Arabidopsis thaliana: one gene and its partner. The protein of the gene in region 1 interacts with the protein of each later gene in a biochemical or structural test. Each region holds a gene or a part of one and is shown on either strand. Other genes may lie near its edges. The genes, in order: CDKB1;2 and HDA15.

Region 1 (4,121 bases):
GAAGCTGTTGCAACACAACAATATTTGTCACAAAAAAAAAACAATCGTTTCAGATGGACAAGATATTCTAAAGTAAAGACTTGTCAAGCATTAACTTTGAAGAGAAGATTGTATTGGCTGAGTGATAGGGTTCTCTTCATCCATTGTTTTCTGTTTTTTCCTTGGTCGTCCTTGAGGTTTCTTGGGTGGTTTTGGCATTGCTTTACACTTGCATGAACGTTTGTTGTGTCCGACTTGTTGACAATTGCTGCAAGTCTAAATATGCAAAGATTAAATTTAATAATTTGAAAATGAAGATCTTGTGAAACATAATTCATTGTTCTCTATTTTACCATTTAAACTTTTTCACGTGTATAAAGAACTTTTTGAGGTGGACGATCTTCAGTTGGATCACGGATTCTGTCATTGTTCTTTGGTCGATTTTTGGAAATTAATATCCCATTAATATTTAATTACTATGGGGTTAAGTTTATTAACAGGTTTTAGTTCAGAGTTTGTTTTACTAAAAACATAGTTCAGAATTTAAAAATAGATCTGACCAAAGCTGACGGTTTTTTTCATTAAATTCCCTTAATAAAATGGTTGCAAATAAGTTTATTGACCCTAGTAAATCAGTAACGGTTTTTCATAATCAACTTTAAAGTCTTTAAGCCATTTTCTTTCGTTTAGTCAATGCCCTATCATTGAATATTATCTTTGTTTTCTTTTTCATTATTGTAATTTTCTTTTATGTATAGTAGTCCAATAATTTTTTAATATTCAGCCATTGTTTAGTTTCCACATGAAACACACAATTTGTTTATAATCTTGTTTTTCTTTCCCCTTTACATAGAACTTCTTATGATGATTTTTATGAGTTTGTGAAATTGCATACCTTGCACATTCGTAGACCTAGTCAGAATTTTTGTTGTTGTTGTAGTATCTTTATTGTAAAAAGAAATGGTTTTCTTAATGTAACTATCGATCAAAACTGATGCAATTACCATACATGAAATTGGAATGAGTGTAAGAAGAATATAAAGTTGAAATAAATCAAAAATGTGAAACTGAATCAATATCATATGAAGTTGAATCATGTATACTAGAAGCCTAGAACACAAGAAACAACCCACCATTAATGAATAATGAGTAAGAGTTCACAGTCCCAAAATAATTGAAGTTACAAATTCGAACACAAAAAATCAAACCTAAACATTTTTCCAATTGGTTGAGTAAGTGAAAAAAAACTACGTAGTAAGAAATTCTTTTTTTGAGTTTGTGCCAAACATTGAACATTAACGTATAAGGAGAAAACTAATGGGATACAAGCTAAAACAGTTATAGTCTTATTAATTAGTATGTTAAATACTAGATTAAAGTTAAAATGAAGTTGGAAAAGCTCGAAGTTTCAACCAATTAATGCGAAATGATCGACTCTTCAAGTAATATTAATAGTTTAGCAAAATAAATGACTGAAAAATCTTTATTATGGGTTGTGGCTGCAAGCATGAGCTTAGCTTTTTGTACTCAGGGCCGGCTTTACATCAAAGATCATGCATAGATTCATTCAACTAAACATTCACCATGGATAATGAATTGAAATCTATAAACATAATCAAGCAAATATCTTATACTATACTTATCTGTTTAAAATGACTTTGAGTCTTTGACTAATAAAATATTATTGGTACGTGTGAAGCGTGCGAGGGATTCAAATGTTAAACGTTATAGCAAAGAGGCGCCTTTATTTACCAGATCTAAAATCGAAAAGGGGCTTTAGGGTTTATAAGACCCAAACAAAAAACATTCATCAGTCTCAATTCAAAATCCTCCATCAATGGAGAAATACGAGAAGCTCGAAAAGGTCGGTGAAGGAACCTATGGAAAAGTCTACAAAGCAATGGAGAAAACCACCGGAAAACTCGTCGCTCTGAAGAAAACTAGGCTCGAAATGGACGAAGAAGGTATACCACCAACGGCTCTCCGTGAGATCTCTCTTCTCCAAATGCTTTCTCAATCAATCTACATCGTTCGTCTCCTCTGCGTCGAACATGTTATTCAATCGAAAGATTCGACTGTTTCTCACTCTCCCAAATCCAATCTCTATCTCGTTTTTGAGTATCTCGACACTGATCTCAAGAAATTTATAGATTCTCATAGAAAGGGCTCGAATCCTAGACCGCTTGAGGCTTCTCTTGTGCAGAGGTTTATGTTTCAGCTTTTTAAAGGTGTGGCTCATTGTCATAGCCATGGTGTGCTTCACCGTGATCTTAAACCGCAGAATCTTCTATTGGATAAGGATAAAGGGATTCTTAAGATTGCTGATTTGGGTCTTAGTCGTGCTTTTACTGTGCCTCTTAAGGCTTATACACATGAGATTGTTACTCTTTGGTATAGAGCTCCTGAAGTTTTGCTTGGTTCTACTCATTACTCTACTGCTGTTGATATTTGGTCTGTTGGATGCATCTTTGGTTAGTAATCAGCTACTATGTCTCTTTTAATGGTCTTTTGTTCTACTGTTTGGATTACTGATGTTTCCCCATTTTTTTGTAGCCGAGATGATTAGGAGGCAAGCTCTTTTCCCTGGTGATTCTGAGTTTCAGCAACTACTTCATATTTTCAGGTATTTGCTTCTTGTTTTTGATGCCAATGTGTATGTATACAGGAACCAGTTTAGGACTTTAGCCCATTAGGTTCAGTACTCGTGAACTCATTTGGATTATGGGGACTGTCTAGTATCAATATATCTGAAGTATGGTTTTGTTTTGGGTTCTGGAGATTGTTAGGAACACCAACTGAGCAGCAATGGCCGGGTGTAATGGCATTGCGTGACTGGCATGTCTATCCAAAGTGGGAGCCGCAAGACTTATCACGTGCTGTTCCATCTCTATCTCCTGAAGGAATTGATCTTCTCACGGTAATGCTCTTTTCTAAAATATGACCATTGTTGGAGAAGTGGCCTAAGATTCTCTTGCATACTTGATCTCTTTAGTAGATTCTTTCTGTTGGGGTTCGTTCCTAGTTGATGATAATTTGTTTTGAACCTTTGAACAATTGCAGCAAATGTTGAAGTACAATCCAGCAGAAAGAATTTCAGCAAAAGCAGCTCTCGATCATCCCTACTTTGACAGCCTTGACAAATCTCAGTTCTGACCTCTGCCAAATTACTGATCAGGCTTCTCTTTGGAGTTCTGAAGCTGATGGCTCAAGTTTATTGTCTTGGTGTCTTATGCTGTGTGCTTTAGAAAGATTTGTACTTAAACTAAACAATCTGAAAACCTTGTTTGTTCAGCGAGAGTGAGAGAATCTTCTTTAAGTGGCCAATTTTATTTGTTCATGTAAACAAGTCTATCAAAGCAAAAATGGTTAACCCTATTAAGCAGACAAATCATTAGTGTACATAAATGAGAGACGAATTTGAAATATTTGCTGTTTCATTACAACGACAATTGCTACTCAAACACACAAGTAAATTACATATCTCATGATATTACACAATTGAGAAACAGAACAAGATACAGAGATCTCTTGTATTAATGTAAAAAAAACAAAACAAATGATGAGTAGCTTCAATTAGACCAGACATGGAGGAGGCCGTGTCTGTTTCCTGTGTATATTTCATTCCGTTCTTCGTCGTAGAAGAGAGCGGTTATGTCTTCCAAAGCCTCAGCAACCGCACTTCTCCTTCGAGAGGAATTCCCCAAATCACTACTGCTGCAGTCCTCTTCCTTAGGAGGACCATTATTTGCTTTTATCTTAGCTAAGCATTTACCAGTCAAGATATTGCTTATGTTAATCGACCCCGCTACATCAACAACCAAAATCACGACAATGTCTCAATAGCAAAACAAAATCAGACCATGAGGTTTCTTGATTTGAAGAGTGGATGATGAGTCTACTTACCATTTCCTTCTATCCACTGATCTTCAGTATCTGCCTTGCAATATGAGATGATCAGATCTTGATCGCTTGTTATGTAGATATTGTTTGTGTTACAGTCTGGATGCCAAAGAAGATGATCCTCAAACGAGGTCACAAGCTCTCCGCGGAAATTCCACACAGAAACATTTCGGTTCCTGAATGTTAGAAACAACTGATTCTCATACAAAAATATGAATGCTGATGGTGTCATGAAGTCAGTT
Region 2 (6,826 bases), on another chromosome or scaffold:
AGGGAAGAACATTAAATGTATATTCTTCTTATCAACAATAAATATATTACGGGGTTAAATGTGAATTGTGATTAGACCTAATTGTTATACATTAACGACATTGTGATCCGATAACTTTTGACTAGCTCGTGCATTTCTCTAAAGGCAAGGCATATAACACTTAGTTTCGTGATTTTTTATAGTCATGCAGAAGTTTTTAAACATGTATTTCAAAACAAACCCGAAAGCTCCTTGGAATTTGCATTTTATGTATTTATTTAGCAGTTAACCATAACGTTAGTTTGCATGTTCAATTTAAATTCAAAGAAATTAAGATGAGATATGGACGGTCTGCAATACCGTATGTTCTAACATAATATTCCAATAATCAAAGTGAATAAATCAATCTCTACCGATGATGAATCTTTGAACTGAAAGGAGACAAGAAAACAATACATCAAATATTTTCAACCATAATGGGAAGCTAGTCGGTCACACTTCACAAAGTGGCCTTTATTTTTGGGTTGTTTCGTTGAAGGGTCCCGAATCAATGGTAGGGAATACTTTCTCCTTATCTCTTTCTCTCTCACTCCAATATATATAATATGATGAATCTTCACTTCCATTTAAACATCACACAATCATCACACAATCACCCTGAATCCCTGATAATAAGGAAAAACAAAAAAGTTTGTTTTATAAACACACTTTAAACAATGAGGGAGAAGTACACAAAGGAGGAAGCAGTGAAGAATTGGGAGAAGAAGAAGAACAAGCCTTCTTCACCAAAAGGAGTTGGAGAGTTTCTGAAAAAGAAGAAAGGAAGGTTCTACATTATTGGAAAATGTATTACTATGCTTCTTTGTTCACACAAGTGATAGTCAACACACATTTTTTCATACATATTTATGTTATCATGTATAGGTATAGATGATGATAGAGGTATAAAAAGGAGAGAGAGCTCAACATATTTACATCTTTAACATTTCGGTGTTCATCTCTCATTTTATGTGGGTGTGTTCTTGTTGTCGTCGTCGTTGTTATATATGGAAATATATCACTCAATATTCTTCTTGTGAACTATATATATAACGGAATACTATCTCCCATAGTCCCATGTTTGTAGAATTAATATTAATGTATGAATAATAAATTCTTAGAGAAAAGACAAAGACGATGCTTTTGAGTACTATATGGAGATGCATGCACACAAACATGTATTATATAACAAAGAAATTGGATTCAGTACTTACAGTTAGAATTAGGTTAAGGTAAAAGAAAAAGGTAAGGGAAACAAATATCAGTCTCACATGTGTTAATGCGCTTGGGCGTATTTTGATTATGTTAGCTGGTCATTATCAGTTAGTTTAACCATTAGTCATTCTACAATCTGTAGTGTGACGTTTAATTACCTGATGATTCAAACATTTTTCACTATAAATATTATGAAGTTATCAGTTAGGTTATTTACCAAACAAAAATTCAATGACATAACAACTAAAGTCTCATTCCCTTTAAAAAATGGTAACTTTTGTAATCCATTTCGAGAAGACAACAAACCTAAATTGGCTTTGTGAAGTAAGATTCAGTCGTACTTTGCTCTTTCAATACTTGAACATTAATGAAAAATTCCAAGCAAAAGGAAATAAAAATAAATAGTTTGACTCAAATTTGGTAATGGGCTTATAGTGTTATTGGGTCTTCATCTTCAGCCCAAATAATCTTTTACTCTTTCAAGTCTGAACGTCGTCATCTTCGTTGTCGCCGTCGTCGTTTCTCTCATTTCTGCTCTGTTGTGCTATCGTAGCGTCGCGCTCCTTTAAACGCGACGGACGCAGCCTTCTCTGTTCATCGTTTCGCCGGAAGTTTTCTTCAGGTATGATATTTTGAGACCGTCGTTGATATTTTTATTCAGTTTCCATAGAGAAAAAAAAACAATTCCTGAGTTCTGGATCGAGGATCGATTTCGATAATACTCGAAGAAAAGTTGGGTTCTTCGTAAAGTTATTTGTTGTAGCTGTGTGTGGAGTTCTTTACATTTTCTTCGATTTTGATTTTAGCTCTTCGTATATGAAACTTTTTGATTTTTAAAATTTCTCAAATTGGGTTTTTCTTTGTTTCTCTTTTGGCACAGCGGAGATTTATTTTCAGCTGGTTAGTAGTTTTGAGTGACTACTGAGGTAACAATGGTTGTAGAAACTATCGAGAGGTCTTGTGAGGGTTCAAAGAGAAGACATGTGAACGGTGGAGATATCGCTGTTCCTTGTTCGGGAGAAGAGTGTAGCAATGGAGATATAAATGTAGCTCCTGGAGTTTCAGCGGTAAGCTAAAAACCATGGCTTCCTTTTAATGTATTGTCAGAGATTTGGTTGGTTCTGCTTTTGGTGATATTGGTCATTGTTGTGTCTTATGCAGAAAAGAGCTAGGGTTTCTAGAGAAATGACGTTTGAAGATATTTACGGTGCTGATGCATTACTCAATGATGACGATGATGAGGATGATGATTGTGATTGGGAACCTGTGCAGGCGCCTATGGAGTTTGTAAAATGGTGTTGTGTCAATTGCACTATGTCGAACCCTGGTGATATGGTCCACTGTTGTGTACGTTTTTTATTTACTTTTTCTTGCTTGGCTACTACTTTTTATGATTTCAAAGTGACAAACGTACGTCTGAGCAATGCGCATTGGACATTGGTTATGTATTAGTAAAGTTGATTCCTTGACGTAGATATGCGGTGAGCACAAGGAATCTGGCATTTTGAGGCATGGATATTTAGCGTCTCCCTTTTTTAAAGACACTGGTCTCATTGAAGTCGAGGAGAAATATGGAGGTAGGAATTACTTCCCTTGCTTCCTCTGAAAATGTCTTTATAAATATTGTTAGTCTCAGTTCCATGCTATTTAAGTAACTGTAAGCATGTTCACTTTTCTTTTAACTTGATATTAGGAAGCTCATCTGCAACCAGCTCGACAGCTGTTGGGTTCGACGAGAGAATGTTGCTACACTCAGAAGTATGATCTTGTTACTGTTATGTGTTATGTTTTCCTGAGAAACCTCTAGTATCTGTTGACATCTCTACATTATCATCTCCAAAGCTTTTCTTCGTGCAAGTTTTTCTATTTAATATGTGCTGATGGCATGCTTAAAAAGTTTGAAGTGAAGGCACAACCACATCCAGAGAGACCTGATCGTCTTCGAGCTATAGCTGCTAGTCTTGCCACAGCTGGTATGTTGCGTTTACTTCCTTTAAACCTAGCCTCTCTTGAGAAGAAGACTAATGTTTGGAAGCTGATTATTATTAAGATTTGGAGATCATTATATAGATCTCTTGCAGCCGAGGTAAGTTAAAACTAAAAAGGAAAATAATAAAATTCTAATTCTAAAAGGAAAAGATCAGAACATAACTTCTTCAATTAAGAAGCTTCTAGCGTCCTTGTCTACCTTCTCTGAGACTTGATCCCATATATCATATCATGTGTTTCATTTTACAGTATCATACTGTTGGGAGTAATTTTGGTACTCACCACGTTTGAATTTTTTTGCAGGTGTTTTTCCTGGAAGATGCTTGCCTATCAATGCAAGGGAAATCACGAAACAAGAACTCCAGATGGTGAGCTGCTACATAACTGTCTTAGAGACAATTCTAATATTATGTTCATTGCAGTACTTTTACAAGCAATTTCATAACTGGTTTGTATATGTCAATTTTGAGGTCCACACTTCAGAGCATGTTGATGCTGTTGATACTACAAGCCAGCTTCTCTATAGGTTTGAATTTTAAACCATTTGTTACTTTTTTTTTTGCGTTCACCGTGCATATCCTTGCTTGTTAATCTGACTGTTCAAACTTGAATTGAAATTTCCTTTACCTTCGCTGCTCCTCATTTATCTCTTTTTGCTCTTGATCCCGTTCTTTTACCATTGTCTGGCAGCTACTTCACCTCTGACACATATGCTAATGAGTATTCAGCACGTGCTGCTAGACTTGCAGCAGGTTTGTGCGCTGATCTAGCTACAGATATTTTCACTGGCCGTGTAAAAAATGGTTTTGCTTTGGTATGTCTAATTCACCAAAATTTTTAAATTTAAAGATGCAACTACACAATTGCTTTAAATTGAAATTACACCATATTAGTTTGAAAAAAAAAAATCTCTGATTGTATCAGGTTAGACCTCCCGGTCATCATGCTGGCGTCAGGCATGCTATGGGGTTTTGCCTTCACAATAATGCAGCCGTTGCTGCATTAGTAGCACAAGCAGCAGGGGCAAAGAAGGTGCTGATTGTGGACTGGGTAATGTTACTGATAACTCTAAACTGGGTGATTTTGTAGATCTTCAAACTTTTTTAATTCGTTGTACTCTGCATTGTGTGGTTTGGCTCATATCAATGTTATATCTACCGTTGCAGGATGTCCATCATGGCAACGGAACCCAAGAGATATTCGAACAAAACAAATCTGTAAGCTGCCCAAATCTATGCATGTCTGCACATCAATTTTGGAGTGTTGGATGCAGTAAATTATTTTTGTGAGTTGACCTTGTTTGAACTTATTACTGGGAGTCATTGCATAGGTATTGTACATATCCTTGCACAGACATGAGGGAGGAAACTTCTATCCCGGTACTGGAGCTGCTGATGAGGTACCTATGCTTTTCTGTTTTACATTGTCTCATCCAGCATTCATGAGTAGATTTAGTTGTTGGTATATATATGCATATACCTTATTTGTGTGTTTGGTTTGCATTATGATTTATGTCTTAAATTTTGGGATTATTTTCTAATTTCTGCCTTGTTTCCAAAATTTGAATTTTCTCTAGGCGGCAGAACAATAGTTTGCTAATGTTAATTATGGGTGCAGGTTGGTTCTAATGGTGGGGAAGGTTATTGTGTAAATGTTCCATGGAGTTGCGGTGGAGTTGGGGATAAAGACTATATCTTTGCGTTTCAACATGTGGTTCTCCCCATAGGTACAGAGTCGTTCTACTTTTCCCCATTTGATAAACGTTTTGGCTTAATTGATGACTAATATGCTCAGGAAGTGGACCAAATACATTTAGCTCACTTTTGAATGTGCACTCAGTCTAATTTTAACTGGAACCTTCTCTTGCAGCTTCTGCATTTTCTCCAGATTTTGTCATCATATCTGCGGGATTTGATGCGGCTAGAGGAGACCCACTAGGATGCTGTGATGTAAGCTTCATATTCGAGCTGTAATTTACCACTTCTGGAATCAGTGTATTGTTTTGTGGATATCAACAGAGGATAGATGTTCTGTTCTACTCCTTTTTTCAGGTGACTCCGGCTGGCTATTCTCGAATGACACAGATGTTGGGTGATCTGTGTGGTGGGAAAATGCTAGTTATTCTCGAGGGCGGGTATGTGTTTTGCAGTTTTTTGGAGTAGCCTCTTGGTTTGTAAGGAGCAGCTTTTGAATAATCTCCTGTTTTCATTTGCAGCTACAATCTTCGCTCCATATCTGCTTCTGCAACAGCAGTGATCAAGGTTAGTCTCTATTTCAAACTTGATATCCTTTAAAATCTGCATATAGTTATGGAGATTCATGATCCCGCTTAATCTATAAAGGTGCTTCTGGGTGAAAATCCGGAGAACGAGTTGCCCATCGCCACCACGCCTTCAGTAGCCGGCCTGCAAACTGTTCTTGATGTACTGAATATCCAACTGGAGTTCTGGCCATCACTTGCTATCAGCTACTCCAAATTACTCTCAGAGTTGGAAGCACGTCTGATCGAAAACAAAAGTGAGTGATGCTTCCCAAAAAAAAAACTATTTCATTCTTCATCCTTCTTTCTCCTAATAAAATCTCACTGGTTTTACAGAAAATCAGATGAAAAGGAAGGTTGTTCGGGTTCCGACATGGTGGAAATGGGGACGAAAGAAGCTTTTGTACAACTTTCTCTCGGCTCGTATGATTTCAAGATCAAAGTGATTTTAGAAAGCATTCTTCCTAATCCGTCGTAGGAATTGTCTACACTTACTTGTAACCCTAACTGATCTGGGGGAATTTATTGCAATTAGGGAGCTCTGAACAATCTTTATCACTTACATTTGGTAGGGTTTTATAGAAAGAACCCTTTTAACCTGCTTACCAACCATCCTCATCAGACCTCTTAAGCTAGGCAATCGGTTTGGATAAACGAATTCCTACTTTAACCAAATTTATAGTTCGGTTTGGTTTATCTTAAAATTATTGATGTCGAACCAAACCAAAAACAAATTTCTTGTTCATTTCTCGGTGTCCAAAATCCTCATTTTCCAATAATTCCGGTATATTCTTTTTGGTTTTGGTATATTTCAATCAATTTCAGTATATTTGACACAGTTTGATACGGCTAGGAAATTTGATTTACAAAAAAGAAAAAAGTAGAAGAATTTAAGAATATTTAGAAATTTATGAAAAACTAAAAGAGCTTCTAAATACGGATATGTTCAATCTTCCAAAACCAAACAAAACAGTTTTGTCGGTATTTTGAACCAAATCTAATTACCAAAATTTTGGCACTGTTCGGCTAAGAATATTAGTCCAGCTCTATTAAATAAGAACTTTCGAATAATCGCTTCGATTCAGATTAATTCTTTCTGATTTTAGGTAGATAGAGGGGCTATCGGTTAATTTCGATTATGAACTAGCTGAATTTTTGTAAATCAACCACATTTTATTTAATCATATGTTTGTTTTCTAAGAGAATTTGAATCTAAAAAACCTTGTATGTTTTTAAAACTTTTATAAAATCTTTTTAAAATCCTTGTAAATCCTTCAAATATTTCAATAGAATCTTTATAAATTCTTATAAAGCCCTTTAAAAGCATTTGTAAAAAACGTTAAA

Evidence for each region.
Region 2: the proteins of CDKB1;2 (region 1) and HDA15 form a complex in vitro, tested with the Arabidopsis thaliana proteins (one study listed by BioGRID).

Annotation. Positions count from the first base shown.
Region 1 is NC_003071.7:16,150,735-16,154,855, forward strand, and holds CDKB1;2 (cyclin-dependent kinase B1;2), read left to right. Parts: upstream 1-1,738; 5' UTR 1,739-1,816; coding exon 1,817-2,450; intron 2,451-2,532; coding exon 2,533-2,602; coding exon of another isoform or gene 2,603-2,672; exon of another isoform or gene 2,673-2,757; coding exon 2,758-2,896; exon of another isoform or gene 2,897-3,039; coding exon 3,040-3,132; 3' UTR 3,133-3,352; downstream 3,353-4,121. Other genes in the region: AT2G38630 (Transducin/WD40 repeat-like superfamily protein), read right to left, coding at 3,549-3,784, 3,883-4,121. UniProt on the Arabidopsis thaliana protein: Together with CDKB1-1, promotes both the last division in the stomatal cell lineage as well as the number of stomata.
Region 2 is NC_003074.8:6,359,440-6,366,265, forward strand, and holds HDA15 (histone deacetylase 15), read left to right. Parts: upstream 1-1,736; 5' UTR 1,737-1,855; intron 1,856-2,113; 5' UTR 2,114-2,165; coding exon 2,166-2,300; intron 2,301-2,394; coding exon 2,395-2,580; intron 2,581-2,707; coding exon 2,708-2,810; intron 2,811-2,926; coding exon 2,927-2,991; intron 2,992-3,130; coding exon 3,131-3,206; intron 3,207-3,525; coding exon 3,526-3,590; intron 3,591-3,692; coding exon 3,693-3,748; intron 3,749-3,912; coding exon 3,913-4,036; intron 4,037-4,146; coding exon 4,147-4,272; intron 4,273-4,388; coding exon 4,389-4,439; intron 4,440-4,552; coding exon 4,553-4,621; intron 4,622-4,839; coding exon 4,840-4,948; intron 4,949-5,091; coding exon 5,092-5,171; intron 5,172-5,273; coding exon 5,274-5,356; coding exon of another isoform or gene 5,357-5,384; exon of another isoform or gene 5,385-5,437; coding exon 5,438-5,483; exon of another isoform or gene 5,484-5,564; coding exon 5,565-5,743; coding exon of another isoform or gene 5,744-5,747; exon of another isoform or gene 5,748-5,818; coding exon 5,819-5,960; 3' UTR 5,961-6,176; and 1 more. Other genes in the region: RTFL20 (ROTUNDIFOLIA like 20), read left to right, coding at 696-857. UniProt on the Arabidopsis thaliana protein: Responsible for the deacetylation of lysine residues on the N-terminal part of the core histones (H2A, H2B, H3 and H4).